Zea mays: one gene and its partner. The protein of the gene in region 1 binds, or shares a complex with, the protein of each later gene. Links are inferred from orthologs where the notes say so. Each region holds a gene or a part of one and is shown in the gene's direction. Other genes may lie near its edges. The genes, in order: uncharacterized protein LOC100280166 and Gamma-tubulin complex component 2-like.

Region 1 (4,444 bases):
GTGCCACCTTTAACGTGTCTTCCTATTTGCCCTATTCTGTCTACGCCGCCACCAAAGCCACAATACTAAGGGTCTGTTTGGTTGGGCTGTGTATGTGAAAAAAGTTGTTGTGGGCTGTGAGCTGTGGAAAAGGTAGCTGTAAGCTGTAAGCTGTAAGCTGTTAAAAAGCTAAAAGCCGTTTGGTGGAAACTACTAAAAGTCGTTAAAAATTCTTCGACATATGTTTTCACAGTTCCATCCGAAAAGCCACTAAAAGCAGGTCCAGGGGTGCTTTCAGATTTGCACTACGAGAAAGTCGGCTTTTAGAAAAAACTGTTTTCTGAATCCAGCCCTTTGGTTGGATTTTGGCTTTTAGGAGGACAAAAGCCAAAGTCAAAAGTCAAACCAAACACACCCTAATAAATGTTTTCCTCGCATCTCTCTAGCTAAATCGATAAGGACCTGTTCATTTGAGCCGGAATTCACCCTAAGATTGATCCAATTGATCAAACCCTATATAAATTAGACAAAAAATCTGGCTAAGAATGGTTACAGATGACCATTTCTTAGGAACCGAACATGCCCTAAAGGTATAGGTTGGTATATCGTAAAATCAGAAAAAGCTACATATATTCTACCACGGCTACATATTTTAAGGACATAAAACCTATGTGTCCTAACAATATATAGAACATTAATGCGCAATTTCATTACTATAGATCCACTTCACAAGGAAATTAGAAGGATTCAAACACCATACTTGATAAAACTTTGTTGAGCTCGTCCTTTGGACATGTATGCCCCTAAATTTACAATAAATTAGTAAAGCAAGGTGTTATATTGGTATATTGTTTGAAATCTTGTCTCGGTTTATCCTACACCAGTCATGCCACACGGACGCTTTACGACGAGCCAAGCGGCTTGTAACCATTTTTTTCCTGTCACTCAGAACTAGCTATCGGCCTACCGCACCCGCAAAATTTCCCAAACCCCGCACACAATTGCCGGAACCCTAGCTCCACTCCATCCTCCCAGCCCGCACCAATGACGGACCAACAAACCCAGGATCTCGTCAAGGAGCTCGTCCACCGCCTCCTCTCCGCCGCCGAATCCGGCGGGCGCGGCGGCGGGCGCGACACGGGCGGTGCGCTGCGGTTCGCGCACCGAATCCTCTCCAGCCGCCTCGCCCCCGCGGTCCTCCCCGATGAGCACGCGCTCGCGGAGTCCATCAAGCGCCGCCTCGCCGCCTCGGGCCGCCCCGATGATGCGCTCTCATTCGCTGACCTCCACTCCAAGCTCTCCGTCCGTGCCCGCCCAGCGTCGCTGTGGCCGCTCCTCTACCTGCTCGACTCTCTCTCCTCGCAGTACCGCGCCGCCGCCGCGGCTTCGTGCCTCCCAAACCTTCCCATCGCCGCCCTACCGCAGAATGCCACCTCGGGGACGGCGCCGGGCGCCGGTGTCAGGCCGGGTTCGCGGACGCACGGGGCGCCGCCGGGCGGCCTGGTGCTGGTCTCCAAGGATCCGGACAACATCCGCGAGATCGCGCTGCGTGAGTACACCGAGCTGGTGATCGACGAGACGGAGGTGTCGGAGGCCGCGCTTGTGCGGGACGTGCTGTACGCGTGCCAGGGCATCGACGGCCGCTACGTGCGCTATGACAAGTCCGTGGACTCCTACGACCTTCCAGACGGTGTTCGAGTGCCGCGATCCACGCGCACCCTCGTTCGCAAGCTATGCGAGCTTGGCTGGCTGTTCAGCAAGGTGCGGGGCTTCATTTCTGACAACATAAGCCGCTCGCCCTCAGATGCTGCCACTGAGGTGGGCACTGTTACCCAGGCATTCTGCTCGGCGCTCCAGGAGGAGCTGTCTGATTATTATAAGCTGCTGGCTGTTCTGGAATCGTACTCATTGAATCCAATTCCCACACCTGGATCTGATTCAGGTGTGTCCAGTAATTACCTCTCACTGCGCCGTCTTGCAGTGTGGCTTGCTGAGCCTGCAGTGAGAATGCGCCTAATGGCTGTTCTGGTTGATGGATGCCGGGGACTGAGGGGTGGTGCTATGGCTGGTGTGATCCATGGGCACGCACAACACGGAGATCCTATGTTTCAGGAGTTTATGGGCCGATTACTGCGCCGGGTGTGCTCGCCGTTGTTTGAGATGGTCAGGAGCTGGGTGCTAGAAGGGGAATTGGAGGATGTATTTGCAGAGTTTTTTATCGTTGGGCAGCCAGTGAAAGCAGAATCTTTGTGGCGGGAGGGCTACCTTATTCAATCTGATATGCTTCCAGCTTTCATATCTCCAGTGCTCGCAAAACGGATTCTTAGAACTGGCAAGTCAATCAACTTTCTTAGAGTATGCTGTGACGATAGTGGCTGGGCTGATGCTGCTGCCGAGGCTGCTGCATATGTTGGCACTACAACATCTCGGGGTGGCCTTGGTTATGGGGAGACTGATGCTTTGGAGGCATTGGTGGTTGAGGCAGCCAAGAGGATTGATCGACATTTGATGGATGTCATTCATAAGCGGTACCGATTTAAGGACCACTGCCTTGCTATTAAGCGTTACTTGCTTCTTGGGCAGGGTGATTTTGTCCAGTATCTTATGGACGTTGTTGGCCCCGAGTTATCAGAGCCAGCAAATAGGATTAGCTCCTTCCAATTGGCTGGCTTGCTTGAGACTGCAATCCGAGCATCCAATGCACAATATGATGACTGTGATATCTTGGACCGGATAAAGGTAAAGATGATGGATCATGGGGATGGTGATCGTGGCTGGGATGTCTTCTCTTTGGAGTATGATGCTAGGGTCCCCCTGGACACTGTGTTCACAGCTTCAGTTATGAAGATGTATCTCAAGGTTTTCAACTTCTTGTGGAAGCTCAAACGCGTAGATCACTCCCTTACCGGAGTGTGGAAGACTATGAAACCTAACTGCATTGTTTCTTCTCCATTTTACAAGGAAGGAACAAGCATCAGAGCTCAATTTGTATCAGTTCTTCGTAAATGTCAAGTTCTATTCAATGAGATGAATCACTTTGTGACCAATTTCCAATACTACATTATGTTTGAGGTCCTGGAGGTTTCGTGGGCCCGTTTTTCTGATGAAATGGATGCAGCAAAGGATTTAGATGACCTTCTCTTAGCACACGATAAATATCTCAACTCGATACTGGAGAAGGCCCTGCTTGGTGAACATTCCCAAGGACTTTTGAGGAATCTGTTTGAACTGTTTGACATTATTTTACAGTTTCGAAGCCATGCTGATCGATGGTTTGAAAGGATATATGAGTTGCAGCTAAGGTTAGATTATTGCAGAATCAGATATTGTGATTCCATCTTTACTTTAAAGCTTATCTCATACCTACTGTTTGATTTACATTTTACTCCAATGTTTCATTTTTATTGCAGGGGAAAGGGTAAATCAAAATCAAAGGATACAGGTTCATGGTTTGATGGCGGCAGAAAAGCTATGATCCAACTAGCTGGAGAACTTTTCTGGAAAATGGGTGAAGACCTGGATAGCATCGCAAAGGATTATACAGCTTCTCTTGATGCTTTTATTACGCAGCTGCCCATGCAACAGCACGTCGATTTGAAGTTCCTTCTCTTCCGCCTTGACTTCACTGAATATTACAGTCGTGTTTCCTCCAACAAATGAATGTGAGCCGCTTATGTGAAAAACTAGGAGTTAGATTGATCGTTTGGTTGGGACTTGGAAAGCATTATTTTTATACCATATCCCATTAATTGATCTTGGTCGCTTGATTGGCAATGGTCACTTCCATTTTCCTTGCACCTCCTGTAGAAGAGGATCTGAATACCCTTTTACTGAGGATTGCCAATGCTACAATCTGGTGATTCTGTCAGCTGTTTGCATGCTGATGCTTATGTGCCGATTCAACGAGGCTAAAGCCACGCATTTCATGCAACTCTGTACACAATTGTAAGTTTGTTTTGATCTTGATTTTCATGGATGTTCTGGTGTAAATTTAATATTTATTTTTTCTCTATTAATTTCTTGAGAATTAAAGCTGGAGGTCTTGAAGATTTGTCCTTAACAGTTTGTATTGTCAGTTTTACAAGAGCAGATAACTCATTACATTGTTTTGATCTTGAAGTTTGGTTTAGAAATGTAATGTAAATAGCAACGGTAATGATTTACACTCGAGTATCGGTAATAATAAGCTAAAATAGAACAATATTAATTTTTAGTGTGGTATCCGATTACGGTAACGTTATCAGTTATCTATCACCAGTTATCTCTCACGTTACAAATACAAATATGTGAAGCAAACATCACCTCAGTGTCCATAAGCTAGTGACCTGCTTGGAGCATGATGCAACTGAATGGCCTGCTTGGAGCATGATGCAACTGAATGGATGCGGAAAAAGGAGACTTGAAGAAATCCGTGGGAATTTGCAGATGTTCAAGCTTTGTCAAATACAAAAAATTTGGTTAGTTT
Region 2 (2,740 bases), on another chromosome or scaffold:
TAGTTTACAGGGTGACTTTTTGGTCCATTTTATGGATATTGCTCGAGAGGAGCTTACAAAGAAACCAGAAGAAATATCCGCTGAAAAACTTCAGGTTTGTCTCATATGCGTTTTCTGTGTGTTTGTGCCATGACAAAAGCAGATTTTTTTGGTCAACTCTGATTATGAAAAAGCTGCTGCTTCTTTGGTTTTGTTTCTGCTTTCTTTGTCCATTTTATACGGCAGTCTCTGCTTGACATTGCTTTACGGAGTACTGCAGCTGCTTCAGATCCAAGCCATGAGGAATTAATCTGCTGTGTGGTAAATATTATCTGGATCTGGTCATACTATATGGCGTTTTACGGAGTACTGCAGCAAGCTTATCATCTTTGTTTACATCTGCGTTCAACAGGAAAGGAGTTCCCTCCTTAAGAAACTGGCCACTCTGAAGGACTTGGATCCTGCAGATAAGCTTGCTGCAGCAGATGTTGATCGATCAATGCAATTAAGCATCACGGGTTTGGAAACATTCTGCCTTAGCAATAAGGTTTTCTATTTTAATAGTTTGTTTAAAACTTTCCTCATGTTTGTCTTGTGATAGTGAAATGATATACTTGTTGTACCCTGCAGGTCCAGTGGCCGTTATCTCTTGTAATTTCAAGGAAGGCTTTGACAAAATACCAATTGATCTTTCGCCTATTGTTCCACTGCAAGCATGTTAGTCGCCAGCTGTGTGCAGCATGGCAAATACAACAAGTATGAATGAACCCTTTTCCTCCTGCAAAACCAGTTTAACATTTTTGTGTACGCCAACTTTGACTGGATATTAACTCTTGGACAGGCATTCCGGTCTGTCAAGATTCTAGGGACACCAATTCTGCGGTCATCAATTCTTTGTCGTAGCATGCTCAAGTTTGTAAATAGCCTTTTGCATTATCTAACATTTGAGGTAAACCATACATATCAGCATGCTAAACTATTCTTTTGATCATGCTAAACCACAGATAACACCATGCATTGTCTGACGTTTGAGGTAAACCATACATGTTGGGCAAGTTCTAAACTATTCATTTGGTCCCAGGTTCTTGAACCAAATTGGCATCTGATGCATGACCGCCTTCAAACAGCAAGGAGCATAGATGAGGTTTTGCACTTCTTTTTTTCAATTTGGGGTGTTTTTTGCAAAAAAAAAACTGCGATGCTAACCGTGCGGAATGCCTTACCTTTTGATGTTAATACTGCTTGCAGGTTATCCAGATCCATGATTTCTTCCTCCAGAAGTGTCTAAAAGAATGCTTGCTGTTGTCGCCTGAACTCCTTGTGGTGTGTCCTTTTACCCTTTCTCTTAAAACTAAAAGAAAAGAAGATAAAACAGTAACTTTTGGTTGATAGCTTTTTCTTGGTACCATTCAAGATTTTTTTTTGAAAGAATCAATTCTTATCATTGTTCTATTTATTTGCATTCACAGAAAGTCGAGAAGCTGAAAGGTTTATGCCTTCAGTATGCCACTTCCATCCAGATCTTGATGCCATCTATCGATGTCGCTAACTCTGAGAACACATCGAAGTCTAGGAAGTCAAGATCAAGAATCGATAAATCACAGGACAGAGACCAGCAGCTGAAACTAGCATCAGAGAATGTTGTCATGTCAGAGTCGATCCTGTACGTATCCGCTCCTCTATCTACCCTTGAAACGCTGGTATTAAATTAAGTTCCACCCATCTAACATCGCATTGGTCTTGGCTGGCTGCAGGAAATTTGAAGCAGCGTTCAATTCAGAGCTGCAGAGTCTTGCTCCTACGCTGAGTAACAGTTCACAAGCGGAGCCGTACGTGACTCATCTCGCACAGTGCATTCTTGGCGTGCGAATCGGCCAATGAGTTATTTGATGGGCCGTACCCATACCTGCCTGCCTTCATTTGGACTTTTGGCACAATGCCATACTCTATGTGCGCCGCTGCAGTCAAGGTAGGTGCATATCCGTTTCTTGTGAATGCTAATGTGGAGCTACGACGCGTTTAGTGACCCTAGGGTGGTGTCGGGAGCCTTGTTATCTTGAGCTCGAACCTTGCTGTGTGTTTATCAGCTGCGACTCAGCATTTCGTGCTGTTGATATCTGACAATAGCAATGTGTGGTTGTGTTGTGTTGTGTTGTGAGACTCAGATGTAAGCTTTGTGGAGTTCATTTCCACGTGTGTGGGAAAAGTGTTTGGTTTGAATCGAACTGGGCATTGGTATTCCACGAGAGTTGGTTAGCGGCCAGTAATGTAATAGTAAATATCATGCTATTAAGCTAATTTAAGTTGATGAAATCCAAATAAAGCAACTCCAAGAGTCTAGTTATAAATCCTAGCCAATTATAGAGTTTTATGGACGACTCTTTAAAATAGATAACTTCTTCAAGGTGGGGTTAACCAACAGATTCTCTAAATTTAACTTTTCACATCCACTTATTGCACCTGCCGCCACCAGGACTGTCGTCGTGACATGCAGCTGTAGAACACTACCTGTGATGCCGAGCCAGATGAAGAAGCGAGTATGAAAGCCATGGCGCTTTTCATTTTTTTTACCGAGCAAAGGCACTTCACCGAGTCTCTTGGACTTCTCTAAAATCCGGTCCATGCGCGGTAACTTTAAGTTGGGTCCACCTCCACACGAATCAGCACGATAGTGCGTAGTGGCAGGCTGCCAAGCTCAATCAAGGATTCTGGACTCAGCATGCCAGTCTCCTCTCGCGGCCCTGTTGTTTGCCGGAAATCC

The links.
Region 2: uncharacterized protein LOC100280166 (region 1) and Gamma-tubulin complex component 2-like share a complex: the UniProt entries of both Arabidopsis thaliana proteins name them as parts of the gamma-tubulin complex. The link is inferred for Zea mays from reciprocal best matches to the Arabidopsis thaliana genes SPC98 and AT5G17410.

Annotation. Positions count from the first base shown.
Region 1 is NC_050102.1:128,663,036-128,667,479, forward strand, and holds uncharacterized protein LOC100280166, read left to right. Parts: upstream 1-1,754; 5' UTR 1,755-1,986; coding exon 1,987-3,281; intron 3,282-3,389; coding exon 3,390-3,639; 3' UTR 3,640-3,908; downstream 3,909-4,444. UniProt on the Arabidopsis thaliana protein: Gamma-tubulin complex is necessary for microtubule nucleation at the microtubule organizing centers (MTOCs). Required for the positioning of the gamma-tubulin-containing complex on pre-existing microtubules and for the proper organization of cortical arrays.
Region 2 is NC_050105.1:131,200,732-131,203,471, forward strand, and holds the end of Gamma-tubulin complex component 2-like, read left to right. Parts: intron 1-10; coding exon 11-94; intron 95-225; coding exon 226-300; intron 301-391; coding exon 392-526; intron 527-609; coding exon 610-735; intron 736-820; coding exon 821-928; intron 929-1,060; coding exon 1,061-1,123; intron 1,124-1,227; coding exon 1,228-1,302; intron 1,303-1,448; coding exon 1,449-1,642; intron 1,643-1,733; coding exon 1,734-1,860; 3' UTR 1,861-2,124; downstream 2,125-2,740. UniProt on the Arabidopsis thaliana protein: Gamma-tubulin complex is necessary for microtubule nucleation at the microtubule organizing centers (MTOCs). Required for the positioning of the gamma-tubulin-containing complex on pre-existing microtubules and for the proper organization of cortical arrays.